Linked DNA regions of Anolis sagrei. The protein of the gene in region 1 purifies or fractionates together with the protein of each later gene. This does not show direct contact. Links are inferred from orthologs where the notes say so. Each region holds a gene or a part of one and is shown in the gene's direction. Other genes may lie near its edges.

Region 1 (7,613 bases):
AAATGCCTGCTTGAACATCCAAGTTTTTAGTCTTCTTCGGAATACCATCAGCGAGGAGACTGATCTTACCTCCATGGGAAGGGCGTTCCAGAGCCGAGGGGCCACCACAGAAAAGGCCCTGTCTCCCGTCCCCGCCAGCCGCACCTGTGAAGCAGGCGGGATAGAGAGCAAGGCCTCCCCAGAAGATCTTAGGGTCCTGGTGGGCTGATAGGCCGAGATACGTTCGGATAGGTAGGTTGGGCCAGAACCGTTTAGGGCTTTAAAGGCCAACGCCAGCACTTTGAATTGAGCCCGGTAGCAAATCGGCAGCCAGTGGAGCTGGTGCAGCAGAGGAGTTGTGTGCTCCCTGTGCTCCGCTCCTGTTAGTATCATGGCTGCCGACCGTTGGACTAATTGGAGCTTCCGAGCCGTCTTCAAAGGCAACCCCACGTAGAGAGCGTTGCAGTAGTCTAAACGGGATGTAACCAGAGCGTGGACTACCGTGGCCAAGTCAGACTTCCCAAGGTACAGGCGCAGTTGGCGCACGAGTTTTAACTGTGCGAATGCTCCCCTGGTCACCGCCGAAACCTGGGGTTCCAGGCTCAGCGATGAGTCCAGGATCACACCCAAACTGCGAACCTGCGTCTTCAGGGGGAGTGCGACCCCATCCAACACAGGCTGTAACCCTATACCCTGTTCGGCCTTGCGACTGACCAGGAGTACCTCTGTCTTGTCTGGATTCAATTTCAATTTGTTCGCCCCCATCCAGACCGTCACAGCGGCCAAGCACCGGTTCAGGACCTCGACAGCCTCCTTAGTGACAGGTGGAAAGGAGTGACAGAGTTGGACATCATCTGCGTACAAATGACATCGCACCCCGAAACTCCGGATGATCTCACCCAGCGGCTTCATGTAGATGTTGAACAACATGGGAGACAATATTGAACCCTGAGGAACCCCACAAGACAAAGGTTGTGGGGTTGAGCAGGAGTCCCCCAGTAACACCTTCTGAGACCGACCCTCGAGGAATGAGCGGAGCCACTGTAGAACAGTACCTCCAAGACCCATTCCCGCGAGGCGTCCCAGAAGGATACCGTGGTCGACGGTATCGAAGGCCGCTGAGAGGTCCAGCAGCACCAACAGGGACACACTCCCCCTGTCGAGCTCCCGGCGCAGATCATCGACTAAGGCGACCAAAGCTGTCTCGGTACCATGCCCCGGCCTGAAGCCAGACTGTGCCGGATCCAGATAATCCGTGTCTACCAAGAATGCCTGGAGTTGTGAGGCCACCACACGTTCCATTACTTTGCCCAAAAAGGGGAGATTGGAAACAGGCCGATAGTTGACGAATTGAGTGGGGTCCAGTGATGGTTTCTTCAACAGCGGTTTTATCACAGCTTGCTTTAAGCTGGCTGGAAATATGCCTTCCCGAAGGGAGGCATTAACCACCACCTTCACCCACTCGGCCAATCCCCCTCTGGCCTCCTTCAGAAGCCAGGATGGGCAGGGGTCTAGGATGCATGTGGTAGCTCTCATTCCTCCAAGCACCATGTCCACATCCTCGGACATACTTGACAGATGCAACTGTCTTTTGGGCTGCATAGGTCAACAGCAAGCTAGACTATTAATGGTAAGGAGTTCACTTTGACCCGGGCTGGATTTGAACTCATGACATTTGGTCAGTAGTGATTTAATGCAGCTGGCTATTAATTAGTTGCGCCACAGCCGGATCCCTGGAGGCTAGGACACGGAACAGTGGCTTCAAACTACAGGAAAAAGAAATTCCACCTGAACATTAGGAAGAACTTCCTAATTGTGAGAGCTGTTCAGCAGTGGAACACTCTGCCCTGGGGAGTAGTGAAGGCACCTTCTTTGGAGGCTTTTAAACAAAAGCTAGATGGGTTGTTGTAGGTTTTTTCAGGCTATATGGCCATGTTCTAGAGCAGTGTTTCTCAACCTTCCTAATGCTGCGACCCCTTAATATAGTTCTTCATGTTGTGGTGACCTCCAACCATAATTTTTTTTGTTGCTATGTCATAACTGTAATTTTGCTAGTTATGAATCATAATGTAAATATCTGATATGCAGGATGTATTTTCATTCACTGGACCTAATTTGGCACAAATATCAGATACGCCCACATTTGAATAATGATGGGGTTGGAAGGGCGCGGGGGTTGATTTTGTCATTTGGAAGTTGTAGATGCTGGGATTTATAGTTCACCTACAATCAAAGAGCATTCTGACCTCCACCAATGATGGAATTGAACCCAACTTGGCTCACAGAACTCCCATGACCAATAGAAAATACTGGAGGGGTTTGGTGGGCACTGACGTTGAGTTTTGGAGTTGTAGTTTACCTATATCCAGAGTGCACTGTGGACTCAAACAATGATGGGTCTGGACCAAATTTGGCACAATATGCCCAAATGTGAACACTGGTGGAGTTTGGGGGGAAAGACCTTGACATTTGGCGTGTTGTCATTGCTGGGATTTATAGTTCACGTACAATCAAAGAGCATTCTGAACTCCACCAATGATGGAATTGAACCCAACTTGGCACACAGAACTCCCATGACCAACAGAAAATACTGGAGGGGTTTGGTGGGCACTGACGTTGAGTTTTTGAGTTGTAGTTCATCTACATCCAGAGAGCACTGTGGACTCAAACAATGATAGATCAGGACCAAACTTGGCACGAATACTCATTATGCCCAAATGTGAACACTGGTGGAGTTTGGGGGGAAAGACCTTGACATTTGGTGTGTTGTCGTTGCTGGGATTTATAGTTCACGTACAATCAAAGAGCATTCTGAACCCCACTGACAATAGAATTGGGCCATACTTCCCACACAGAACCCTTGGCTCACAGAACTCCCATGACCAATAGAAAATACTGGAAGGGTTTGGTAGGCACTGACATTGAGTTTTGGAGTTGTAGTTTACCTATATCCAGAGTGCCCTGTGGACTTGGCACACAGAACTCCCATGATCAACAGAAAATACTGTGTTTCCTGATGGTCTTTGGCGACCCGCTTGACACGCCCTCGCGACCCCCCCAGGGGTCCCGACCCCCAGGTTGAGAAACACTGTTCTAGACGCATTCTCTCCTGACGTTTCACCTGCATCTACAGCAAGCATCCTTAGAGGTAGTGAGAAGCTAGATGGCCATCTGTCGGGGGTGCTTTGATTGTGCTTTTCCTTCATGGCAGAGTGTTGGACTTCATGGCAGAGTGTGGTCACTTCCAACTTTATTATTCTGTGTCATCATGGGAGTTGTAGCTTCACAAGCCTTCTCTGCCAAAGGGTGCTGGTGGTACCTCACCAAACTACAAATCCCAGTCCAAGTGGATCCAAAGCGAGAACGTAGAAAGCTCTTAGACTTAGATGAAGGGCAGACGACACCAAATTGGGACGGATAGCCAATAGTCCAGAGGACAGGAGCAGGATTCAAAACGATCTTGACAGATTAGAGAGATGGGCCAAAACTAACAAAATGAAGTTCAACAGTGACAAATGTAAGATACTCCACTTTGGCAGGAAAAACGAAATGCAAAGATACAGAATGGGGGACAATGCCTGGCTTGAGAGCAGTACATGTGAAAAAGATCTTGGAGTCCTCGTGGACAACAAGTTAAACATGAGCCAACAATGTGATGTGGCGGCAAAAATAGCCAATGGGATTTTGGCCTGCATCAATAGGAGCATAGTGTCTAGATCTAGGGAAGTAATGCTCCCCATGCTCTATTCTGCCTTGGTTAGACCACACCTGGAATATTGTGTCCAATTCTGGGCACCACAATTCAAGAGAGATATTGACAAGCTGGAATGTGTCCAGAGGAGGGTGACTAAAATGATCAAGGGTCTGGAGAACAAGCCCTATGAGGAGCGGCTTAAGGAGCTGGGCATGTTTAGCCTGAAGAAGAGAAGGCTGAGAGGAGACATGATAGCCATGTATAAATATGTGAGAGGAAGCCACAGGGAGGGAGCAAGCTTTTTTTCTGCTTCCTTGGAGACTAGGACGCGGAAGAATGGCTTCAAACTACAAGAGAGGAGATTCCATCTGAACACGAGTGTGAGAACCGTTCAGGAGTGGAACTCTCTGCCCTGGAGTGTGGTGGAGGCATCTTCTTTGGAAGCTTTTAAACAGTGGCTGGATGGCCATCTGTCAGGGGTGATTTGAATGCAATATTCCTGCTTCTTGGCAGAATGGGGTTGGACTGGATGGCCCATGAGGTCTCTTCCAACTCTTTGATTCTATGATTCTATGAGAGGAGATTCCATCTGAACACGAGTGTGAAAGCCGTTCAGGAGTGGAACTCTCTGCCCCGGAGTGTGGTGGAGGCTCCTTCTTTGGAAGCTTTTAAACAGAGGCTGGATGGCCATCTGTCAGGAGTGCTTTGAATGCAATATTCCTGCTTCTTGGCAGGGAGTTGGACTGGATGGCCCATGAGATCTCTTCCAACTCTTTGATTCTATAATTCTAAGGCCTGAATGAAGGAAGGCCTGAGGGAGGAGAGCAAGCACTTTTGAGGCCTTCTTTCTTTCTTTCTTTCTTTCTTTCCTTTCTGTCTTCCTTCCTTCCTTTTCTCAGCAACGTCAGTGGGAATTTCCAGCGAGGAAGTGAGAGGGCGTGGAGGGAGGAGGGGAGGCTGCGTGTTTCTTCCGCGGAGGGAGGAGGAGGAGGAGGCCGCGCTTGGCGGGAGTCGCCTGCCTGCCTCCTTCCTCTCCTCCTCTCTCCTTTCATTTCGCTTTCACACCAACGACCAAGCCCGAAGCAGCGGGGCCGGCCTGCTCCAATCTCTCCCTCACACACTCTCTCTCTCTCTCTCACTCCTCGAGGCGCCTCCTCCTCCTTCAGGCTCTTCTGGATTTGTTCTTTTTGAGCCCACCAGGACTTCTCTCCCTCTTTCCCTTCAAACCAGGACTATCCTGAGGTTCAAGAAGACCATTTCCAAGTCCTGAGGTGAGTGATGCCCAGGGAACACAACAGGCCACCTGACTGGATAGTGTTTGAATGTGATGACTTGGTGTTTCAGTATTATTTACATATTGTTATTATTATTTCCAAGTCCTGAGGTGAGTGAAGTGGAGGGAATACAACAGGCCACCTGACTGAGTTGTGTTTGAATATTATGATTTGGTGTGTCAATATTATATTGTTATTGTTATTTCCAAGTCCTGAGATTAGAGATTTTTAGCATTCTTATCTGGTGTTTTAATATTATTATTTTCTTCATCCTATTATTATTGTTGTTGTTGTTGTTGTTCCCAAGTCCTGAGATTAGTGATGTCCAGGGAATATAACAGGACACCTGACTGAGTTGTCCTTTAATATTATTTGGTGTTTTAGTATTCTTATATAGTGATTTAATTTTCATATTCTTCTTATTATTATTATTATTTCCAAGTCCTGGGGTGAGTGATGTGGAGGGAATATAACAGGACACCTGACTGAGTTGTCTTTTAATATTAGTTTTTGGTATAACAATATTATATTGTTATTGTTATTTCCAAGTCCTGAGATTAGTGATGATTTAGCATTCTTATCTGGGGTTTTAATATTATTTTCATATTATTATTATTATTATTATTATTATTATTATTACTATTGTTGCCAGGTCCTGAGATTAGTGATGATTTAGCATTCTTATCTGGTGTTTTAATATTATTTTCATATTATTATTATTATTATTATTATTATTATTATTACTATTGTTGCCAGGTCCTGAGATTAGTGATGTTTTAGCATTCTTATCTGGTGTTTTAATATTATTATTTTCTTCTTCTTATTATTATTATTACTATTGTTGCCAAGTCCTGAGATTAGTGATGTCCAGGGAATATAACAAGACACCTGATTGTGTTTTGATATTATTTGGTGTTTTAGTATTCTTTCCTGGTGTTTTAATAGTATTTTCATATTATTGTTATTATTATTGTTATTATTTCGAAGCCCTGTAGTGAGTGATGTCCAGGGAATATAACAGACCACCTGATTGTGTTTTGATATTACTTGGTGTTTTAATCATATTTTCATATTATTATTATTATTATTATTATTTCTTCCAAGTCCCGAGGTGAGTGATGCGGAGGGAATATAACAAGCCACCAGATTAAGTTGTGTTATATATTATGATTTGGTGTATTATTATTATTATTATTATTATTATTATTATTATTATTATTTCAAAGCCCCGTAGCAAGTGATGTCCAGGGAATATAGCAGGCCACCTGATTATGCTTAAATATTATTTGGTGTTTTAGTATTCTTAAATGGTGTTTTAATTTAATTTCATATTGTTATTGTTATTGCCAAGTCCTGTGGTGAGTGGTATCCAGGAAATACAACAAGCTACCTGACTGAAAAGTTTTTCAATATGATGATTTGGTGTTTCAGTATTATTTACATATTGTTATTATTATTTCCAAGTCCTGAGATCAGTGATGTCCAGGGAATATAACAGGCCACCCAATTGAGTTGTGTTTAAATATTATTTGGTGTTTTAGTATTCTTATCTGGTATTTTAATTGTATTTTCATATTATTATTATTATTATTATTATTATTATTATTATTATTTCCTAGTCCTGAGGTGGGAGGGAATATAACAAGCCACCAGATTAAGTTGTGTTTTAATATTATGATTTGGTGTATTGTTATTGGTGGCGCAGTGGGTTAAAGCACTGAGCTGCTGAGCTTGTTGATCGAAAGGTCACAGGTTCGATTCCAGGGAGCGGCGTGAGCTTCCGCTGTTAGCCCTAGCTTCTGCCAACCTAGCAGTTCGAAAACATGCAAATGTGAGTAGATCAATAGGTACCGCTCCGGCGGGAAGGTAACGGCGCTCCATGCAGTCATGCCGGCCACACGACCTTGGAGGTGTCTACGGACAACGCTGGCTCTTCGACTTAGAAATGGAGATGAGCACCACACCCCAGAGTCAGACATGACTGGACTTAATGTCAGGGGACTACCTCTACCTACCTATTATTATTATTATTATTATTATTATTATTGTTGTTGTTGTTTTGTTGTTGTTATTGTTATTATTATTATTTCCAAGTCCTGAGGTGAGTGATGTAGAGGGAATATAACAGGCCACCTGATTGAGTTGTCTTTTAATATGATTTGGTGTTTTAGTATTCTTATCTGATATTTTAATATTATTTTCGTATTGTTGTTGTTGTTGTTGTTGTTTCCAACTCCTGTAGTGAGTGATGTCCAGGGAATAGAACAGGCCACCTGATTTAGTTGTGTTTTAATATTGTGATTTGGTGTTTTAATATTATTTTCATATCATTATTATTATTTCCAAGTCCTGTGGTGAGAGATGTGGAGGGAATGTAACAGGCCACTTGATTGAGTCGTGTTTTAATATGATTTGGTGTTTTAATAGTCTTATCTGGTGCTTTAATATTATTTTCATGTTGTTGTTGTTGTTGTTGTTGCCACGACCTGTAGTGAGTGATATCCAGGGAATATAACAGGCCACCTGATTGAGTCGTGTTTTAATATGATTTGGTGTTTTAATAGTCTTATCTGGTGTATTATTATTATTATTATTATTATTATTATTATTATTTTCAAGTCCTGTGGTGAGTGATGTCCAGGGAATATAACAGGCCACCTGACTAA
Region 2 (6,894 bases), on another chromosome or scaffold:
CCAGCTGTCTTGACCAGCCCTCACAAAACCTCCCCAATACCTAAGGCTGCTGCTGTCTCCCCAGCCCTGCATCTTTTATACAGTCACTGCCTCCTGCAGCTGCCACTCTTTGTCACTGCCATTGCCCCAGGTTTGTTTTGAAGGGTGAGGATTGGGGTTGGCAGGGGCTTAGATAGTGGAAACTGCATGGTCTCTCTTTTGCTCTCTGGAGGTTGCAATGGAGAAGAGAAGCAAAGGGAGAGGGCCAGGAGAGTTGGCTGAGAGAGTGGGAGCCATGTGGTTTTGTCGGCTCAGAGCAGCTGGGAAACTTGTGCAACTGCTCTGGCTTTTTTTGTCCTGATTGCCACCATCAAGAGTGGACATAGCAGTGGTGAGGGGATGGGGAGACGGGAGGAAGCCCTGTGTCCCAGGAGTGTGAAGAGGTGGCAACTGGAGAAGCAATGGGGAGGCACGGTCTTCCTTCCGTCTCCCTCCCCTCACTGATGCTGGTTCCACTCCCAAAGGCACAAGCAGGATTGAGGAAGAATGACAGAAGTAGCACAGCTTTCCCAGCTGATTCGAGCCAGGGAACCAGAACCAGCTGATGAAGAAAGTCCACAAAGAGAAAACCTCAAAGCCCTGCCTCCTGCAACCCAAATCACTGCCAATGAACCACACAACTCCAGCTCTCAGAAGGATCTTCTTCCTTCAAAACAAACCCAGGGTTACCAAGGCCCCATGTACACTGCCAAATAATGCAGTGTAGACTCATATAATGTAGACTGAACTGCATTGAACTGGATTATGTAAGCCTACACTGTTCAGTGCAGTTAGGAATTCATCCCACAAGAGAGGGGAAAGTGGAGGGAACCGCCTTACCCGTTTCCTCTGATCCTTTACCATCTTCTGGGATGGCCAGCCATCTGAGATCCTTACTACATTGATGCCTGTCTTTCTCCCGCTTTTCTCCATTCCGAGTTGGATAATACCTGACTCCTGAAGATGAGTTTGGGCTCTTGTTTCTATGCACTGTGGAAATGGAGCCCCAATGAGTCTCACTGGAAGTGCTCCCATGCCATGTAATGGCCTCTGTGGGATTCCTGTGGTACTCCATTTCTGAAGCGCATTGAAACGGAGCCCTAAACCCATGGGATGAAGTCCTTAATCTGCATTCTAAAATTGCATTACATGGCAGTGAAGATGGGGCTTCAGGTGATGGCAGCAACAAAAACCAGCTACTGGGAGGCAGCGACAAAGGTTCAAGAAGTGGTGACAGCATTGGGGGCAGATTTGGGGAGGCTCTCTAGGGTCTGGCCAGGACAGCTGAGCAGTAAGACAAAAAAGTAAAGTTGAGTTGAGAATTAATTCCCCCTACAAGAAAAAAATCAAGGCTCAAATAAAAGAAGTGTTTTACTATGTTTTTATGACAGAACCAATTAGGAAGTGACATTTATAACCCAGGAACAAAAATCGTGTTACATAGTGTTATTTATAAAGTGCATTAAAATGAGAAACTGGGTCCTGTTGACGGCATACAATCTAAAATGTATGTGTAGACACACAACCATAAATAACAAATCGGAAACCATACAGATAACTGCAAAACAAACCATTCTGATAAAATGCAAGAAATATATATTCTAAAACAAACAAAACAATCAAAAATGATACAAAGCAAATTGGCCCATATATGTGATCAAAATATGAAAGTTTAAAAAACAATGTTAATACAAAATCCACATAGCTTTGGAAAACAAAATAAAAAAGTTTTCAATTAAACAATAATCGTAAAAACAAATTAAACATAATTCTAGGGTGCACCTACACCAGGCATGGGCAAACTTTGGCCCTCCGGGTGTTTTGGACTCCAACTTCCACAAGTTGGAAGTTGGAGTCCAAAACACCTGGAGGGCCCAAGTTTGGCCATGCTTGATCTACACTGTGGAATTAATGCAATTTTTCACCACTTTAACTGCTATGGTTTAGTGCTATGGGATCCTGGGAGTTGTATCTTTGGGCAGGGAAGGCTCTGTGAAACTACAGCTCCCAGAATCCCATAGCACTGAGCCATGGCAGTTAAAATGGTGTCAAACTGCATTAACTCTATAGTATAGGTGCACCCTATAATCAATGCTATGGGATACTGGGAGTTGTACTTTTTTGGCAGGGAAGGCTCTGTGAAACTACAGCTCCCAGCAGGCCCGTAGCCAGGATTTTGTTTCGGGGGGGGGGGGGGGGTGATTTTTTTTCAGGGGGGGTTCGGGGGGGCTGAGTTTCCGGGGGGGGGGGGCTGAGTCTGAGTGAAAGAGGGTCTACCCTAGCAAACCTTTTGTATCATTACTCCAATACCCCCATGCATATGGGATATATTGAGTATGGTGATCAGATCATGAGATGAATAAACATAACAGTTTAAATAATGCACCAGTAAGGCCTTTTCGCGAACCACCATGAGAATTTGGGGGGGGGGGGGGGCTGAAGCCCCTCAAGCCCCCCCCCCCCCCCCCCCGGCTACATGCCTGGCTCCCAGGATCCCACAGCATTGAGCTATGGCAGTTAAAGTGGTATCAAACTGCATTAACTGTACAGTATAGTTGAACCCTATAATCAAAGCTATGGGATCCTGGAGGTTGTACCTTTTGGCAGGGAAGGCTCTGTGAAACTACAGCTCCCATGATCCCATAACATTGAGCTATGGCAGTTAAAGTGGTGTCAAACTATTAACTGTACAGTATAGTTGCACCCTATAATCAAAGCTATGGGATCCTGGGAGTTGTACCTTTTGGCAGGGGAAGGCTCTGTGAAACTACAACTCCCAGGATCCCATAGCATTGAGCTATGGCAGTTAAAGTGGTGTCAAACTGCATTAATTCTAGTGTAGATCAGGCATGGACAAACTTCGGCCCTCCAGGTGTTTTGGACTACAACTCCCACAATTCCTAACAGCTGGTTAGGAATTGTGGGAGTTGTAGTCCAAAACACCTGGAGGGCCGAAGTTTGCCCATGCCTGGTGTAGATGCACACTAGATTTGTGTTTTTCTTACAATTGTTAATTGTTTAATTCAAAACCTTTTTTTCTCCAAAGCTATGGGGATTTCAGCTTGACATTGTTTAACAAGCGGTGTCAAACTGCACTAATCCTTCAAGGTAAGGATAACAGTCAATGCAGAACTAATCAAAACTTTTTCCTTAGCTGCGCATGCGCACTCCACAACGTTCTTTGGCGCATGCTCAAAACAGCCGGCCTTGAGTTTCTTAAGAGACTTCCAAAGAGGTCAATGCAGAACTCTTTGAACTTTTTCTTTAGCTGCGCATACGCACTCCACAACGTTCTTCTGCGCATGCTCAAAACAACCGGCCTTGATCTTAAGAGAGACTTCCTCCCTACTGTTCAACCACAACCTTCTTCTGCGCATGCTCAAAACAGCCGGCTTGAGTTTCTTAAGAGAGACTTCCTCCCTACCACTCAAAACTTTTTCCTTAATTGCGCATGCGCACTCCACAACGTTCTGCGCATGCTCAAAACAGCCGGCCTTGAGTTTCTTAAGAGACTTCCAAAGAGGCCAATCAAAAACCTTCCCGAAGTTGGATCCCTTCATTCTAGTGCTGTGTTCCTAGAAGCGCCATTCATATTTCCTTTTTCTTCTGTAATTTTACATTAATTCTCCAAACTTCTCTATTTGGTTTGAACTGTGTGGCTTCTTTTAGAAATAGAAAAACCAACTTCGGGTTCGGGTTCTAATTGGCCTCCAAGCTGCCGCTTTCCCACGCTATTCGCTTCGGACCGTTCCATTTTTCTCCCATTATGGGGGGAGATTAAAAAAAAATAAACGCAGTCCCAGCGAGTCCATTGAGGGGTTTTGGGAGGAAAGAGAAATACAGTCCGACACTTGGAGTGCGTGAGAGGCCTCTTTTGTGTAAAAGAACGCGAGTGCTAGAAAGGGACGCTCATTTGCTGCTTCCTCGCTCCCCCCACGTTGAGTTCTGAAGTGGGCTCGCCCGCCGCTAATCACGTGCTCCTCCTTGGCCGGTGCGTGCCTGAGGTGAACACCATGGCCGGGCTCCTCAGGACCGCTGTGTGGCTCCGCTCCGGCCTCCGGGCCCTCCGAGCCGGGTACAACGCCGCCTCGCTCGCCTCCTCCCCGGCCTCGGCGCTCTCCTCAGCGGCGGCTTCCAGCAAGGCCTGCAGGTGAGTGTGTCTGGCCTGGCTTCTGAGGGTCATGCAGGCCTCTGTGAAGAGAAAAGGAGTGAGAGGGAGGGGAAGGTCAGGAGGGCGGCCTTTATTTTGATCTTCCTTTGCTCTGTTTCGGCTTGGCCGATGCCTGCCTGAATGCTGCTACAGGTTGAGCATCCCTTCATTCCCCAAATGCCCAATATGGATCCACGTGGGTTCCATAGCACTGAAGCTATGACAGTTAAAGTGGGCCCAAACGGTGTAGATCAGTCATGGGCAAACTTAGAATCATAGAGTTGGAAGAGCTCAGTTTAAAAGCTTCCAAAGAAGGAGCCTCCACCACACTCCAGGGCAGAGAGTTCCACTGCTGAACAGCTCTCATAGAATCATAGAGTTGGAAGAGACCTCGTGGACCATCCAGTCCAACCCCCTGCCAAGAAGCAGGAAAATTGCAAAGCACCCCTGACAGATGGCCACCCAGCCTCAGTTTACAAGCTTCCAAAGAAGGAGCCTCCACGACACTCTAGAGCAGAGAGTTCCACTGCTGAACGGCTCTCACAGTCAGGAAGTTCTTCCTCATGTTCAGATGGAATCTCCTTTCTTGTAGTTTGAAGCCATTGATTACATCCCGAATAGATTAGTGCAACGCGCTCTACGTGGGGCTGCCTTTGAAGACGGTTCGGAAACTTCAGCTACTCCAACGGGGGGCAGCCAGATTACTAACTGGGGCGACATACAGGGAGCATACCACTCCCCTGTTGTGCCAGCTCCACTGGCTGCCAGTCCATCTCCGAGCCCAATTCAAAGTGCTGGTTTTGACCTATAAAGCTCTATACGGTTCTGGGCCAGCTTACTTGTCCGATCCACCCCTACTACCCATCTCGTAATCTAAGATCATCCGGGGAGGCCCTGCTCTCGCTCATCAGTTGCGCAAATGCATCTGGTGGGGACGAGAGACAGGGCCTTCTCGGCTGTGGCCCCTAACCTATGGAACACACTCCCAAGTGAGGTAAGATCTGCTCCCTTTCTCCTGGGTTTTAGAAATAAATTAAAATCATGGCTTTGGGATCAGGCCTTCGGACAGTAGATGTTTGTAGAGTTTAAAGGACATGGACTAGAATGACAATGTGACTGGCGAGACTGTTTTTATTCTTTATTGTTTTAATGATTGCTAATGTACTGTCTAATTATGATTTATGTTTAATTGTGGTTTTATTATTGTGGTTGTTATGGTTTGACATCGCGTCAGTGTCCAATGTATGGTACTGAAGTTTTGTCAGTTATGTGTGTAAACTGCTTTGAGTCCCCCTAGGGGTGAGAAAAGCGGTATAGAAATACTGTAAGTAAGTAAGTAAAGAAAGAAAGAAAGATTAATTAATCAATTAATTAATTGATCCCTGTTCTGGTCTCCAGGGCAGCAGAAAACAAGCTTGCTCCCTCCTCCCTGTGACTTCCTCTCACACATTTATACATGGCTATCATGTCTCCTCTCAGCCTTCTCTTCTGCAGGCTAAGCATGCCCAGCTCTTTAAGCCGCTCCTCATAGATCTTGTTTTCCGGACCCTCGATCATTTTAGTTGCCCTCCTCTGGACACATTCCAGCTTGTCAATATCTCTCTTCAATTGTGATGCCCAGAATTGGACACAATATTCCAGGTGTGGTCAAACCAAGGCAGAATAGAGGAATAGCATGCTTCCCTGGATCTAGACCAGGGGTCCTCAGACTTTTTAAACAGAGGGCCAGGTCATAGTCCCTCAAACTGTTGGAGGACCAGATTATAATTTGGGGAAAAAAATGAATGAATTCCTATGCACACTGCAGTATCTTATTTGTAGTGCAAAAAACACTTTAATACAAGGATTAAAATGAAGAACAATTTTAACAAATATAAACTTATTCATATTTCAGTAGGCAGTGTGGGGCTGCTTTTGGCTGATGAGATGGAATTGTTGTTGTTGTGTGCTTTCAAGTCATTTCAGACTTAGGTTGACCCTGAGTGAGGGCCGGGTAAATGACCTTGGAGGGCCGTATTCGGCCCCTGGGCCTTAGTTTGAGGACCCCTGATCTAGACACTATACTCCTATTGATGCAGGCCAAAATCCCATTGGCTTTTTTGCCATCATATCACATAGTTGGCTCATGTTTAACTTGTTGTCCATAAGGACTCCAAGATCTTTTTCACACGTACTGCTGTTGAGCCAGGCATCCCCCATTCTGTATCTTCGTATTTCATTTTTTCTTCCTAAGTGGAGTATCTTGCATTTGTCACTGTTGAACTTCATTTTGTTAGTTTTGGCCCATCTCTAATCTGTTAAGATCGTTTTGAATTCTGCTCCTGTCTCCATAGCACTGAAGCCATGACAGTTAAAGTGAGCCAAAACTACAGTGTAGATCAGTCATGGGCAGACTTAGAATCATAGAATCATAGAGTTGGAAGAGGTCTCGTGGACCATCCAGTCCAACCCCCTGCCAAGAAGCAGGAAAATAATAATAATAACTTTATTTTTATACCCCGCCAACCATCTCCCCTAGAAGAGTCTGGGCGGTTTACAAGGGACTAGCCCAAAAATTACAATAAAACACAACAAATTAAAACATCAAATATGAAAATATAAAAACAGTCACAATTGTAAGCAAACATCAAGCAATATGGCTGAGATAAAGAAACATCACTTAGTGGAGGGAGTGCATGGGAAGTGCAATAATCCAGTAAGCAGGGCTGGAAATGTCATCAAAGGTG
Region 3 (7,134 bases), on another chromosome or scaffold:
GTAATATATTACATCTCGAAAGCTGCAGTTTGTTTGGGCACCAGCATTCTTTAGAAGGCTAAAGACCTTGTAAAACTACAACTCTCATTAATTGTTCAGTGTAGCTCAATGGTTTGGGCCGCCAGGTGTTTTGGTCTTCAACTCCCAGAAATCCCAGCCTGCTTACCAGTTGTTAGAAACTGTGGGAGCTGAAGTCAAAAACACCTGGAGGCTCAAAGGCTGGGAACCACTGGTGTAGATGCACCCTTGGAGTGAACTGTTAGATTAGTGGTACTAAGCTGTGGGTTCTACAGTGTTGAATTTTGGATCCTAGAATCCTTGACTGTCGGTTCTAATGATTGTGGAAGCCACTCTTAAGACTGATACAACTTCCATGTTATCTCTCTAAAAATCTTGTTACATTTTTATAAAAAGGATCAGATAACACTTTGAAACAAGTTCTGCTCCTGCTGAATTCAAAAAATGTCTTTACGAAATGACACTACTGCAATGACTCTACCTAATGAAGATTTTCAACTGTTAAATAAAAAAATAAGGAAAAAAAATAAAATCTTGTGCACAGCTACTCAGAAGAAAGTCTCACTGTTTTCAATAGATCATATTCAGGCTATATGTATGTAAAATAGTAGCTTTATTCCCAGTCCACTGGATTCAGAGGAATTTATTTAAACTACAAAGCATAATAGCTAAGATTAAGCCTTACAAGTATAGCCTAGGGCTCATCAAAGGCAAAGTTGAAATACATTATTTAACACAAACCGCAGGGTTTGTCCCAGTTGTGCAATGATATGACACCATTGTGATCATTCTACAATTCAAACATAAAATGCAGTATGTGCTGTAAGCATGAATTAGAAATTCGTTTGTGTGCCTGTGTGCAACAATCACACTGAAAGACAGAAGTTTAAAAATAAAAAGCAGATAACAAAAAACCCAGTAATAGGACAACACAGGTATACAAAAGTTTCTTGAAAAAGTAGTAGAACTGTTAAGATGATCTAGAGCAGGCATGGGCAAACTTTGGCCCTCCAGGTGTTTTGGACTTCAACTCCCACAATTCCTAACAGCCTACAAATTTAAAACAAAATGGATAAAAATTGATAAGAGATTTCCTAAACCCAGATGAGACAATTATGGACAATTGTTGTCATTGTAACTGGCTTCTTTGGAATGGACTGAAACAAAGGATCATGAATTGGAGGAAAAATGAAGGCCCAGAAACAGATTTTGATCTAATTTTAAAGTTAAAATTAGAAAAGGAGAAAGGCCTGATGGGTTTAATATACAAGAAATTTGTTGGAAATCGATATAAATTGAAACAAATATTGGTAGAGATATGGAAAGAGGACCTGAATAACAATGATTCAGACACTGAATACTGGATCAATCAATTCAATTAAACATATCAAGTACATAAGGATTAGAGAAACACAAAGGAAAATATTGACTAAATGGTACAGAACCCCAATTAAATTAGCACACATAACTAAATCAACCTCAAAATTGGGTTGGCACAGATGTGGAAAAAATGGCTCCTATACTGGTGGAAATGTGACAGAGTACAAAAATTTTATAATAAGGTACAGAAGGAAATGGAAGAATCAATAGGGCATAAAATGGTTTTGAATTTAAAAGAATTCTTCACCTTGAGCGGAACTTGCTTCCAGCTAAGTATGGATGTCATGAAGCTGTTAAATAGTTCCTTGGGGGAAAAGACAGCTCTTGATGAATACAGTAAAACAGTAAAATAATAATAATTATTATCTATATAAATAAAATGTAATGTTTGTTTGTGGGATTAACATAACTCAAAAACCACTGGATGAATTGACACCAAATTTGGCCACAAGACACCTAGTGACCCAAGGACCATCACTAAAAAAAAATTGAGTTTGTGATTTGGGAGTTGTAGTTGCTGGGATTTATAGTTCACCTACAATCAAAGAGAATTCTGAACTCCACTAACAATGGAATTGAACCAAACATGGCACACAGGACTCCCATGACCAACAGACAATACTGGAAGGATTTGCTGGGCATTGACATTGAGTTTGGGAGTTGTAGTACATCGACATCCAGAGAGCACTGTGGATTCAAACAATGATGGATCTGGACCAAACTTGGCACGGATATTCCATATGCCCAACTAGGAATTCCATATGCCCAACACAGATGGAGCTTGGGGGAAATAGACCTTGACATTTGGGAGTTGTAGTTACTGGGATTTATCGTACACCTGCAATCAAAGAGCATTCTGAATCCCACTAGCAATAGAATTGGGGCAAACTTCCCACACAGAACCCCCATGACCAACAGAAAATACTTAAGGCCATCCAGTCCAACTCCCTTCACCAGGGCAAGAAAACGTACTCAAAGCCCTCCTGACAAAGAGCCATCCAGCCATAGATATAGATATGATTCACACACACACAACTATAGATTTGAAAGGGACCCCTAAAAAAGGACAATTCTATGTTGTATGCTCTAGAGCAGGCAAACCAGACACTCTCCACATCAACACTGACAAAGAAACAGCAAGAAATACTGTTTACCCACAAGCATAAAGAAATTACATATATTAGAAACCAACACTTTCTCTTTACTTTATTTTCCAGATCACAAGACTGGGCCACAGCAACATGTGGCAGGGGGTGGCTAGTAATCTATATAAAATGTAACGTTCGTTTGTGGGATTAACATAACTCAAAAAACCACTGGATTAATTGCCACCAAATTTGGCCACAAGGCACCTACTAACCCAAGGAGTGACCATCACTCAAAAAAAAAATAATAGAGTTTGTCATTTGGGAGTTGTAGTTGCTGAGATTTATAGTTCACCTACAATCAAAGAACATTCTGAACTCCACCAATGATGGAATTGAACCAAACGTGGCACACAGGACTCCCATGACCAACAGAAAATACTGGAAGGGTTTGCTGGGCATTGGCGTTGAGTTTGGGAGTTGTAGTACATCAACATCCAGAGAGCACTGTGGACTCAAACAAGGATAGCTCTGGACCAAACTTGGCACGAATATTCCATACGGCCAACTAGGAACACAGATGGAGCTTGGGGAAAATATACCTTGACATTTGGGAGTTGTAATTACTGGGATTTACAGTTCACCTACAATCAAAGAACTTTCTGAACCCCACGAACAATAGAATTGGGGCAAACTTCCCACACTGAACCCCTATGACCAATAGAAAATACTTAAGGCCATCCAGTCCAACTCCCTTCACCAGGGCAAGAAAACATAATCAAATACTGTTTACCCACAAGCATAAAGAAATTACATATATTAGAAACCAACACTTTCTCATTACTTTATTTTCCCGATCACAAGACTGAGCCATAGCAATGCATGGGAGGGGACGTCTGGTCTATATAAATAAAAATGTAATGTTCATAATGTTCAAACTTGGCACGAATATTCCATATGCCCAACTAGGAACACAGATGGAGCTTGGGGGAGTTGTAGTTACTGGGAGTTGGGACCTTGACATTTGGGAGTCAAGGTCCCAAAGAGCATTCTGAACCCCACGAACGACAGAATTGGGGCAAATTTCCCACACAGAACCCCCATGACCAACAAAAAATACTTAAGGCCATGCAGTCCAACTCCCTTCACCAGGGCAAGAAAACATAATCAAAGCCCTCCTGACAAAGAGCCATCCAGCCATAGATGTAGATATATATATATATATATGATTCACACACAGAGAGATATAGTATCAAATATAGTATCATAGATTTGAAAGGGACCCCTAAAAAAGGACAATTATATGTTGCATGTTCCAGAGAAGGCAAATCAGACACTCTCCACATCAACACTGACAAAGAAACAACAAGAAATACTGTTTACCCACAAGCATAAAGAAATTACATGTATTAGAAACCAACACTTTCTCGTTACTTTATTTCCCAGATCACTAGACATGGCCATAGCAACGCGTGGCAGGGGATGGCTAGTAATAATAATAATAATAATTCCAAAAGGAGAACCTCAATAACCCTATGAATGGGCAGTCTATACGTTTCGTAGATCTATTGTGTCTCTTTCGCTCCCTCCCTCCGCAAACGAAGAGCACTGGGCGGAAGTGATTGAGTTGGCGTTTTCGCGTTGGCTTGGATTTCTCGCGAGAACAGCCAAAGCCGGAAGCTCCACGTCGGTGAATTGGGCAGTGAGCGAACCTGGGAGCTTCGGGAGGTTGAAGCAGCCCTGAGCGGGAGCTGAAGCCATGGTGAGTCCAGGCTCCTGAAGGCCTCCTCAAGACGGGCCTTGGCTTGGCATTCTGCAGAGCCCCTCCTTTTCCTCGGGCAGGGATGGATGTTTGGGGAGGGAAAGGGGGAGAGAAAGGCCTTTCTAAGGGCCCTTCCATACAGCCCTATGTCCAAGAATATCAAGCCAGGAAATCCCACTATGTCCCACAGGAAATCCCACAAGACCTGTCTTGATCCAGGGAAGTCATGCTACCCCTCTATTCTGCCTTGGTCAGATCACACCTGGAATATTGTGTCCAATTCTGGGCACCACAATTCAAGAGAGATCTTGACAAGCTGGAATGTGTCCAGAGGAGGGCAACTAAAATGATCAAGGGTCTGGAGAACAAGCCCTATGAGGAGCGGCTTAAAGAGCTGGGCATGTTTAGCCTGAAGATGAGAAGGCTGAGAGGAGACATGATGAGGGCCATGTATAAATATGTGAGACATAGTCATAGGGAGGAGAGAGCAAGCTTGTTTTCTGCTGCCCTGGAGACTAGGACACAGAACAATGGCTTCAAACTACAAGGCCTTGTTGTTCTGTTTCTTATTGTGATATGGCCTAAGGGCTAATCAATAAAATTACTACTGCTACTACTACAAGAAAGGAGATTCCATCTGAACATTAGGAAGAATTTCCTGACTGAGAGCTGTTCAGCAGTGGAACTCTCTGCCCTGGAGTGTCATGGAGGCTCCTTCTTTGGAGGCTTTTAAACAGAAGCTGGATGGCCATCTGTCAGGGGTGCTGTGAATACAGTTTTCCTCCTTCTTGGCAGGGGGTTGGACTGGATGGCCCATGAGGTCTCTTTCAACTCTTATGATTCTAAGATTCTAAGACCTCACAACCTCTGAGGATGCCTGCCATAGATCCAGGTGAAATGTCAGGAGAGAATGCTTCTAGAACATGGCCATATAGCCCGAAAAACCTACAACAACCCAATCCACAATATCTGCTTTGAACTGGATTATCTGAGTCCACACTCAGATAATGTGGGATTTTTTTTTTGCCTTCATATTCTGGGATATAGGGCTGTGTGGGAGGGCCCTTAGGGGCATCTGCAGCATAGAATGAATGCAGTTTGACACTATGGTTCAATGCAATGGAGTCATGGGAGTTTTAGTTTGATAGGGCATCAGCATTCTTTAACAGAAAAGACTAAAAAGCCTCATCCAGCATCTAACCATGGTAGTTAAAGTGGTATCAAACTCCATTCATTCTACACTGTTGATCAGGCATGGGCAAACATGGGCCCTCCAGATGTTTTGGACATCAACTCCCACAATAGGGTTAGAATTGGTTGTGGCTAACCAGGAAAGAGTTTTTTGGAGGGCACAGTCACAATTCAGTGTTTTAGAAAGGATGATACCTTACTCTGTCTTGGAGATGCAGCATCTATTACAGCATCCCTAATAAATGACCAACTGATCTCTGATTAGAAATCTCTAATGAAGGTGAGCCAACTGCTTTTGGAAACATTCTGCTGTCCGAAAAGTGTACGTAAAAAGAAAGTCTTCATAATGGTTTATCAGAATCCACTTTTTAAAATTTCAGAACCCGCAATTCTGCCCTCGTGAGGTAGAGACCCAAATATGTGTCATGGTGAATATCTTAGTGAAAGCAGCAACTCAGTAAGTTGCAACAAAAGAAGCAAATTCTCTGAGTTTACACAATCTATTGTTTGATCCACTAATCTGTGGATGTGTACAATTTCAGGGAAATGCTTGAGTTCTTGCTTTAATTCACATTTCCTAAGAAAGAACAATAATTATTAATACCTCCAGCAGTCAAGAATGTGTGGTGGCTCATTTTGTCCAGACCTGTCAATTGTGGTTAGCAACAGGTCTGAAATGAACTTAATATTTTTTGTTGTAAACAAAAATAAATGTTCTTAAGGAACATTTAGCCTATTTTTAACTTATTACAGCTATCCCCTTGATGCTTCTTCATTCCCTTTCTATACTTTAATATAAGTTGTGCATAGTTTATGAAGGACATGATATTGCCTTTTTATCTGTTCCACTTTATAAAATGGCAGTAGCCTCCTTCGTCCAGATCTTGGATCTCTCCTTAACAGTTTTCATATTTGCAAAAATCTTGCATTCAAAACAGTCTCCAGCTCTTTAGTATGGATATATGGCAGCATGTTTGCTTTGCATAAGAATATTTCAGTGGAGACTAGTAAAGATGTGTTCACGTTTGTAGTATGTATTGGTTTGGAATGGATTCTTGAGTTACTCAAGCCAATATCTGAAAGATTTTGACTGTGTTGAGGTCAAAGCAATGTGTCTCTTGTATAAATATCACTGGTTGTTTCGAATTGGTCCTTCTTGTGACATAAATATCTTAAACAACTGTCTTCTTTTTAGCCTCTCCGACTTGATATAAAGCGTAAGCTCACAGCTCGATCTGACCGTGTGAAAAGTGTAGACTTACATCCTACAGAGCCATGGATGTTGGCTAGTCTTTACAATGGCAGTGTCTGTGTCTGGAATCATGAAACACAGGTAAGATTTCATATAAGACTTGTTGATTATAAAACCATAGTTTTTTTAGTGTGCTACTACATGTGAGGTCACCATTAAATGTGGTGCAAGAATTCTGTTGTCAAAATCACAGTGGTGGTTTTTTCCCCAAATTTAACAGCAATTACAGCATCTTTCTCGATTACATCGATATAATTTCACTTCTTATGCCATTTTCTCAGTTAATTCCCTGACCAAGATTTATTAAGTAAGTGTTTCTCCCTTAGCATTTTTTTTTACTTTTTTGTAAGTTATTTCTTTTTCTGAAAATTCTAAATTTTAATGTGGCTTTTCATGTCTAGGTGGTTTTAAAAGACATTTGCATAAATTAGTAATGTAAGGTCTAA
Region 4 (7,774 bases), on another chromosome or scaffold:
AGAACATTCTCAAGCCGCCTGTCAATTTATGGTGGCCTCACAAATTTCATAGGGTTTCCTTAGGCAAGGAATTCTTAGGTATGTTTTGTCAGTTTCTTCCTCAGAAATGCAGCCTGCAGGTAGTTGGTAGTGATATCTTGTCTAAGTACTAACCAGAGCTGACTTTGCTTAGCTTCCAAGATCAGAGGGCATCTGGTGCATTTTCAAAACAGATGAAGAAATGTGTGATAGGCTCTTGTAATCTTCATGTTGGAACATCTGCAATGTTAGTAAGAGCTGTATTGCTGATCCATGCCCATTCCCCATAGCTATTTTAATTTAAATTTATTGAAATTGAAGGATCCCCTCCAGCAGACATTGGGTTTCTATTTGCAGCACAAGGCATGTCGATACTCAAACATAGTGCTGGTATAGTTCAGTGAGTAAAATACTCTAGATGTGTTTACTTCTGTAACAAAAAATTTGGTACCAGAGGCAAAAATAATATGGAAAGAGCAGAGATAGGCTCTTATCCACATGTTTCAGCAAACCTTTTATTCAAAATGTAGTATGTGTACATGGAAAATAAAACAACTATGTCACATCTATCTTTCATAAGTCAGAAAAAGTATTTGGAAACATCTAAAAGTTTTGAAGATAAATAACATTGTATTCTTTTTTAAGAGGCTGCTTAATTAGATACAGTGCTGCTGAACAAATTGAAGCTGTTTCGATATCTTCTTGGGAATGGCAATTTTCTATCACCATAATCAAGGAGGATGTATAAAAAGTTACCTTTTGAATTACAACTCCCAGAATCCCCCAGCCAGAATGACCACTATTTGCAGCCCAAAAACAATGTTTTTGAATTCTAGCATCAAGCTAGTTTTCCATTAAAGATAGCTGATTCAGTCAGGATAAAAAAGCCCAGGTATTTTAATTAATTAGTCATTAACAAAGTTATTGGAAGAGAGAATAATTTTAATGCTCACACAAAGCAATTTTGCTTCTTTCCTAGGTGAAAAATGTCATATATCTGCTTTATGTGATATATTTTTAAAACTTGGTGTATAATTAAGAACCATATGTTGTCGTTTGGAATATTCTATGTATTTAATCTTGGTTTTAATTTTTTTGTAGATTGGTAGTGCCTGTGTTTGTGTTTTACAGAAGCAATCTTCTGCTTACAGGCAAATTTCACAATCTGTTCATCAGTAAATCACTGAGAAAGTAACTATCGGAAATGCAGCCCTGAAGAATTATGTGGTCACTTTTGGCAGCAGCGATGAGTGTTTTCTCCAGAAGTAGCAGTGAGCATGACCCCACATAACTGAGTCACCTCAAGTTACATTCGGATTTCTTTTTCTTGGAAATGCAAAATACAGGCTGAAGTTTCACTCATAGCAGGATTTATTCCAGTGGTATATTGGAGCCAGGATGTAACAGAATCCATGCATTGCAACTTTATGATAAGAGAGAAAGCTAACCTTAAAAGCTGTGGCACAGACACCAAGAACTGGGAAGCCCTGGCCCTTGAGTGCTGTAGCTGGAGGCCACTATTACCAACAGTGCTGTGGAATTCAAAGAGGCATGAATGGAGAGCGATAGGGAGAAATGTGTCAAGAGGAAGGCTCCTCAAGCAAATCCCCAAGGCTCTACTGGAAGTCAATCATACTGGGCCAGGAGGGATTGCAGATGATAATGGTTTTATTTATCATATCAGGAGCAAACCAAAGGTACAGTTGTAATGTATTTTTTTTAAAAAAAAACACAGTTTAAAAACTTGGCAGTTATCCAAAACATAATCTAGGGCCGTTCCATTTGTCAATTACATTTATTCGTAGTCACTGCTCCAATTACTTGTCAAAATCTTGGTCCCAAAGCCATGTCTCACCACTGGGACCACCTTGACTGGCTTGTGCCAGAGTCTTAACAGTTCGATCTTTAAATCCTCATATTGTGTCAGCTTTTCCAGTTGTTTCTCTTCAATCCTGCTGTCACCTGGGATTGCAACATCGACAATCCATACTTTGCTTTTTAACACAATCGTGAGGTCAGGAATATTGTACTCCAAAACTCTGTCTGTCTGAATTTGGCTATAATAGCAGTTTATGACAGTTCGGTGTGTGGCGTTGAAAATTTCTGCCACTTCTGTAGTTGTTTTGCTTCCAGTTGCCCTACAGGCCGATGCCCTGGTTGCTCAGTAGCGGGTCCTGGTTCCTGTAGCCCACTTGTTGTCGGGTGCCCAGGAGAAGCACTTGTCGCGGTCCTTATTATCCTGGGTGATGACCAAGCCAGTATAGACTTCTTTAGAGTTTGTTTCACCATATTTAAATGGGTTGGGTGCACTTAGTTCTACTTCTCAGTTGAGACCACTCTGGCTTGGTTGAACCTGCTGGTAATTTTATTTACTTACTTATTTACTTAGGCCATCCCTCATTGGCCGAGTAGGATAGTCTTCCAGGATCAGTGTTCTGGTGGGTCTGTAGGTGACTGTGGAACCCTATTCTTGATCTGTATCTTCTCCCGCAGTGAGGGCATTAGTTTCCAGGTGGAAGGCGGTCTCGGTCGGGGTTGGCTTGACGTGTCTTCCTCTTGGCATGTTTCTCTCTTTCACCCTCCATTCGTGCCTCTTCAAATTCTGCAGCACTGCTGGTCACAGCTGACCTTCAGCTGGAGCGCTCAACGGCCAGGGCTTCCCAGTTCTCCGTGTCTATGCCGGAGTTTTTAAGGTTGGCTTTGAGCCCATCTTTGAATCTCTTTTCCTGTCCACCAACATTCCATTTTCTGTTCTTGAGTTTGGCGTAGAGCAACTGCTTTGGGAGATGGTGGTCGGGCATCCGGACAATGTGGCCGGTCCAGCGGAGTTGATGGCGGAGGACCATCACTTCAATGCTGGTGGTCTTTGCTTCTTCCAGCACGCCAACGTTTGTCTGCTTGTCTTCCCAAGAGATTTGCAGGATTTTCCGGAGGCGGCGCTGATGGAATCGTTCCAGGAGTTGCATGCGACGCCTGTAGACAGTCCACGTCTCGCAGGCGTATAGCAGGGTTGGGAGGACAATTGCTTTATAAACAAGCACCTTGGTCTCCCTACGGATGTCTCGGTCTCTGCTTCATTCGGAGAAATGCTGCACTCTCAGAGCTCAGGCGGAGTTGTATTTCGGTGTCAATGTTGACTTTGGTGGAGAGGAGCCTGCCAAGGTAGCAGAAGTGGTCAACATTTTCTAATGTTACACCATTAAGCTGTATCTCTGGCATTGGAGAAAGGTTGGCTGGTGACTGCTGGAACAGCACTTTGGTTTTCTCGATGTTCAATGACAGGCCGAGCTTCTCGTATGCTTCTGTGAAGGTGTTTAGAGTGGCTTGTAGATCTTCTTCTGAATGTGCACAGATGACATTGTCATCAGCATACTGAAGTTCTAAAACAGATATTGCTGTAACCTTGGTTTTGGCTTTACACTACTACCAGCACAGCTCCCAACATCATAGAAGCAGTTAAGCCCCCCCCCCCCCCCGCCAATGACAAGGTGGCACCCGATGGGGGGATTATTGTTGTTGTTGTTTCTCAAAACCATGAGAAAGAGTAGGTTCTTGTGGGTTTTTCCGGGCTATAGGGCCATTTTCTAGAGGCATTTCTTCTGACGTTTCGCCTGCATCTATGACAAGCATCCTCAGAGGTAGTGAGGTCTGTTGGAATTAGGACAATGGGTTTATATATCTGTGGAATGGCTGGGGTGGGGCAGAGAGCTCTTCTCTGCTGGAGCTAGGTGTGAATGTTTCAACTGACCACCTTCATTAGCATTGGAAGGCCTGGCTGAGCCTGGGAAAATCTTTTGTTGAGAGGTGTTAATCTGTGCCTGGTTGTTTCCTCTCTGCTGTTTTGCTGTTGTAATTTTAGAGTTTTTTAATACTGGTAGCCAGATTTTGTTCATTTTCATGGTCTCTTCCTTTCTGTTGAAATTGTCCACATGCTTGTGGATTTCAATGGCTTCTCTGTGTAGTCTGACATGGTGGTTGTTGGTGTGGTCCAGCATTTCTGTGTTCTCAAATAATATGCTGTGTCCAGGCTGGTTCATCAGGTGCTCTGCTATGGCTGACTTCTCTGGTTGAAGTAGTTCCCTTGATGTATAGCAGGAACACTTTTCCTCTGGGTGGACCTTCATCAGCCTGGACACAGCATATTATTTGAGAACACAGAAATGCTGGACCACACCAACAACCACCATGTCAGGCTACACAGAGAAGCCACTGAAATCCACAAGCATGTGGACAATTTCAACAGAAAGGAAGAAACCATGAAAATGAACAAAATCTGGCTACCAGTATTAAAAAACTTTAAAATCACAACAGCAAAACAGCAGAGAGGAAACAACCAGGCACATCTTAACACCTCTCAACAAGAGATTTTCACAGGCTCAGCCAGGCCTTCCAATGCTAATGAAGGTGGTCAGTTGAAACATTCACACCTAGCTCCAGCAGAGAAGAGCTCTCTGCCCCACCCCAGCCATTCCACAGATATATAAACCCATTGTCCTATTTCCAACAGACCCCACTACCTCTGAGGATGCTTGCCATAGATGCAGGCGAAACGTCGGGAGAAATGCCTCTAGAAAATGGCCCTATAGCCCGAAAAAACCCACAAGAACCTAGTGATTCCAGCCATGAAAGCCTTCGACAATACAGGAGAAAGAGACTCCTGGTGGTTCCAGCGTTGGCTCCCACTTCTGGCCGCAAGAGGGCGCGGGCGGGCCTTCCCTCGGAGGGAGGCGGGTCTCGGTGCTGCCTGGGCGGAGCCTGCTGGCGCTGGCTCGGCGGACCTGCAGCTTCGGTGTTTCCCTCCGCGAAGGCGCTCTTGTCCTCGGCATGCGGCGCCTTCCTGCTTTCTTTCCCGGGCCTTTCCTCCGCTGAGCGCCTTCCTCCCCGGCTGCCATGGCGTCGTCGTCGTCGTCGAGGGCGGCGGTCCGCTGCTCCTCTCTGGAGGACGGGCAGTTCGACTCGGGCCTGGGCTCGCTGCGCTCCTTGCAGGGCCCGCTGGGCGAGGGCGAGGGAGAGCCCCCTTCCCCGGCTCCCCGAGAGGCCCCTCCGGGCAAGGAGGCGCCCGCCGAAGCCGACGAGAGGCTGGACTCCAGCTACGGCTCTGCCTCCTTAGTCGAGGCCTTGGCGGCGCTGAAAAAGACCCCCGAGAAAGAGGAGGAGGAGGAGGAGGAAGGAGAAGAGGTGGATGGGCCCCAAGGAGAAGAACGCCTCAGGCAGCAGCTGCTGGAGACCTTCACCTTCGTCTCAGAAGAAGGAGATACGTGAGTGACAACACTCCCCTCTCCTCCCCAATTTTAAGTCCCATTGCCCTTGTCTTTCACATCATTGGGCATCATGGCTAGAACTGATGGGAGTTGTGACACAGCAACATCTGGAAGGCTGCAGTTTGTCCTGTAGACTCAGGATAGTTTTGACTTCAGATCCAAGGCTTCTGCATGGCCTGCCTGATGTTCAAATGGGCTTTAACTTTGCATTGTCGAAGGCTTTCATGGCCGGAACCACTGGGTTGTTGTGTTCCAGAAGCATTCATAGAATCATAGAGTTGGAAGAGACCTCATGGGCCATCCAGTCCAACCCCCTGCCAAGAAGCAGGAAAATTGCATTCAAAACACCCCCGACAGATGGCCATACAGCCTCTGTTTAAAAGCTTTCAAAGAAGGAGCGTCTACTACACTCCTGGGCAGGGAGTTCCATTGCTGAACAGCTCTCACATAGAATCATAGAATCATAGAGTTGGAAGAGACCTCATGGACTATCCAGTCCAACCACCTGCCAAGAAACAGGAAGATTGCATTCAAAGCACCCCCAACAGATGGCCATCCAGCCTCTGTTTAAAAGCTTCCAAAGAAGGAGCCTCTACCACACTCCGGGGCAAAGACTTCCACTGCTGAACAGCTCTCACAGTCAGGAAGTTCTTTCTCATGTTCAGATGGAATCTCCTCTCTTGTAGTTTGAAGCCATTGCTCCATGTCCTAGTCTCCAGGGAAGCAGAAAATAAGTTTGCTCCCTCCTCCCTGTGACTTGCTCTCACGTATTTATACATGGCTATCATGTCTCCTCTCAGCCTTCTCTTCTTCAGGCTAAACATACCCAGCTCTTTTAGCTGCTCCTCATAGGGCTTGTTCTTCAGACCCTTGATCATTTTAGTCATCCTCCTCTGGACACATTCCAGCTTGTCAATATCTCCCTTCAATGATAGTCATGTATAAATATGTGAGAGGAAGTCACAGGGAGGAGGGAGCAAACTTGTTTTCTGCTTCCCTGGAGACTAGGATGCGGAGCAATGGCTTCAAACTACATCTGAACATGAGAAAGAACTTCCTGACTGTGAGAGCCGTTCAGCAGTGGAACTCTCTGCCCCGGAGTGTGGTGGAGGCTCCTTCTTTGGAAGCTTTTAAACAGATGCTGGATGGCCATCTGTCAGGGGTGATTTGAATGCAATATTCCTACTTCTTGGCAGGGGGTTGGACTGGATGGCCCATGAGGTCTCTCCCAACTCTTTGATTCTATGATTCAATTGCGGTGCCCAAAATTGGACACAATATTCCAGATGTGGTCTATCCAAGCCAGAATAGAGGGGCAGCATGACTTCCCTGGATCTACACACTATATTCCTATTGATGCAGGCCAAAATCTCATTGGCTTTTTTTTGCCGCCACATCACATTGTTGGCTCATGTTTAACTTGTTGTCCACGAGGACTCCAAGATCTTTTTCACACGTACTGCTCTCAAGCCACGTGTTTCCCATTCTGTATCTTTGCATTTCATTTTTTTCTGCTTAAGTGGAGTATCTTGCATTTGTCTCTGTTGAAGTTAATTTTGTTAGTTTTGGCCCATCTCTCTAATCGGTTAAGATCGTTTTGAATTCTCCCCTGATGTTTCACCTGCATCTATGGCAAGCATTCTCAGAGGTTGTGAGGTCTGTTGGAAACTAGGAAAATGTGGTTTATATACCTGTGGAATGGCCAGGGTGGGAGAAAGAACTCCTGTCTGCTCGAGGTAGGTGTGAATGTTGCAATTGGCCACTTTGATTACCATTGAATGGCCTAGCAGTTTTCAAGGTCTGGCTTCTTACTGCCTGGGGGAATCCTTTGTTGGGAGGTAATTAGTTGGCCCTGACTGTTTCTTGTCTGGAGTTCCCCTGTTTTTGAATGTTCTTCTTTATTTACTGTTATGATTTATTTATTTATTTACTTTGCTTATATACCGCTGTTCTCAGCTCGAAGGCGACTCACAGCGGTTAACAAACAGTAAAAACAGCAGTAATTCGATGCAACATAAACAATTAACTTAACACATTATCCCCTAATAACAATAAGCAATTAACATACACAATTATTACAATAACCATGTCCAATCGTCTCATCATCCAAGCATAGATTTAGAGTTTTTTAACCCTGGTAGCCAGGTTTTGTTCATTTTCATGGTTTCTTCCTTTATGTTGAAATTGTCCACATGCTTGTAGATTTCAATGGCTTCCAGGCAATTAAATGTTAATCAAGGTGACCAACTGAAACATTCACACCTACCTCAAGCAGACAAGAGTTCATTCTCCCACCTGGGACATTCCACAGCAGCCGGGGGGGGGGGGGGGGGCTTGATGGGCTCCCCCCCCCCCCAAATTCTCAGGGTGGTCCGCGAGAAGGCCTTACTCTGGTACATTATTTAAACTGTTATGTTTATTCATATCATGATCTGATCATCATGCTCAATATATCCCATATGCATGGGGGTATTGGGATAATGATATAAAAGGTT

The links.
Region 2: the proteins of NFKB1 (region 1) and LRPPRC purify together in Homo sapiens (affinity purification with mass spectrometry; 3 studies listed by BioGRID and IntAct, with this or other methods). This does not show direct contact. The link is inferred for Anolis sagrei from reciprocal best matches to the Homo sapiens genes NFKB1 and LRPPRC.
Region 3: the proteins of NFKB1 (region 1) and COPB2 purify together in Homo sapiens (affinity purification with mass spectrometry; 5 studies listed by BioGRID and IntAct, with this or other methods). This does not show direct contact. The link is inferred for Anolis sagrei from reciprocal best matches to the Homo sapiens genes NFKB1 and COPB2.
Region 4: the proteins of NFKB1 (region 1) and NFKBIE purify together in Homo sapiens (affinity purification with mass spectrometry; 4 studies listed by BioGRID and IntAct, with this or other methods). This does not show direct contact. The link is inferred for Anolis sagrei from reciprocal best matches to the Homo sapiens genes NFKB1 and NFKBIE.

What each region holds. Positions count from the first base shown.
Region 1 is NC_090025.1:27,556,166-27,563,778, forward strand, and holds the start of NFKB1 (nuclear factor NF-kappa-B p105 subunit), read left to right. Parts: upstream 1-4,608; 5' UTR 4,609-4,944; intron 4,945-7,032; exon of another isoform or gene 7,033-7,048; intron 7,049-7,613.
Region 2 is NC_090021.1:28,793,334-28,800,227, forward strand, and holds the start of LRPPRC (leucine-rich PPR motif-containing protein, mitochondrial), read left to right. Parts: upstream 1-3,894; 5' UTR 3,895-4,031; coding exon 4,032-4,168; intron 4,169-6,894. UniProt on the Homo sapiens protein: May play a role in RNA metabolism in both nuclei and mitochondria. In the nucleus binds to HNRPA1-associated poly(A) mRNAs and is part of nmRNP complexes at late stages of mRNA maturation which are possibly associated with nuclear mRNA export.
Region 3 is NC_090023.1:229,602,818-229,609,951, reverse strand, and holds the start of COPB2 (coatomer subunit beta'), read left to right. Parts: upstream 1-4,131; 5' UTR 4,132-4,242; coding exon 4,243-4,245; intron 4,246-6,631; coding exon 6,632-6,769; intron 6,770-7,134. UniProt on the Homo sapiens protein: The coatomer is a cytosolic protein complex that binds to dilysine motifs and reversibly associates with Golgi non-clathrin-coated vesicles, which further mediate biosynthetic protein transport from the ER, via the Golgi up to the trans Golgi network.
Region 4 is NC_090021.1:48,185,560-48,193,333, forward strand, and holds the start of NFKBIE (NF-kappa-B inhibitor epsilon), read left to right. Parts: upstream 1-4,754; 5' UTR 4,755-4,908; coding exon 4,909-5,276; intron 5,277-7,774. UniProt on the Homo sapiens protein: Sequesters NF-kappa-B transcription factor complexes in the cytoplasm, thereby inhibiting their activity. Sequestered complexes include NFKB1-RELA (p50-p65) and NFKB1-REL (p50-c-Rel) complexes.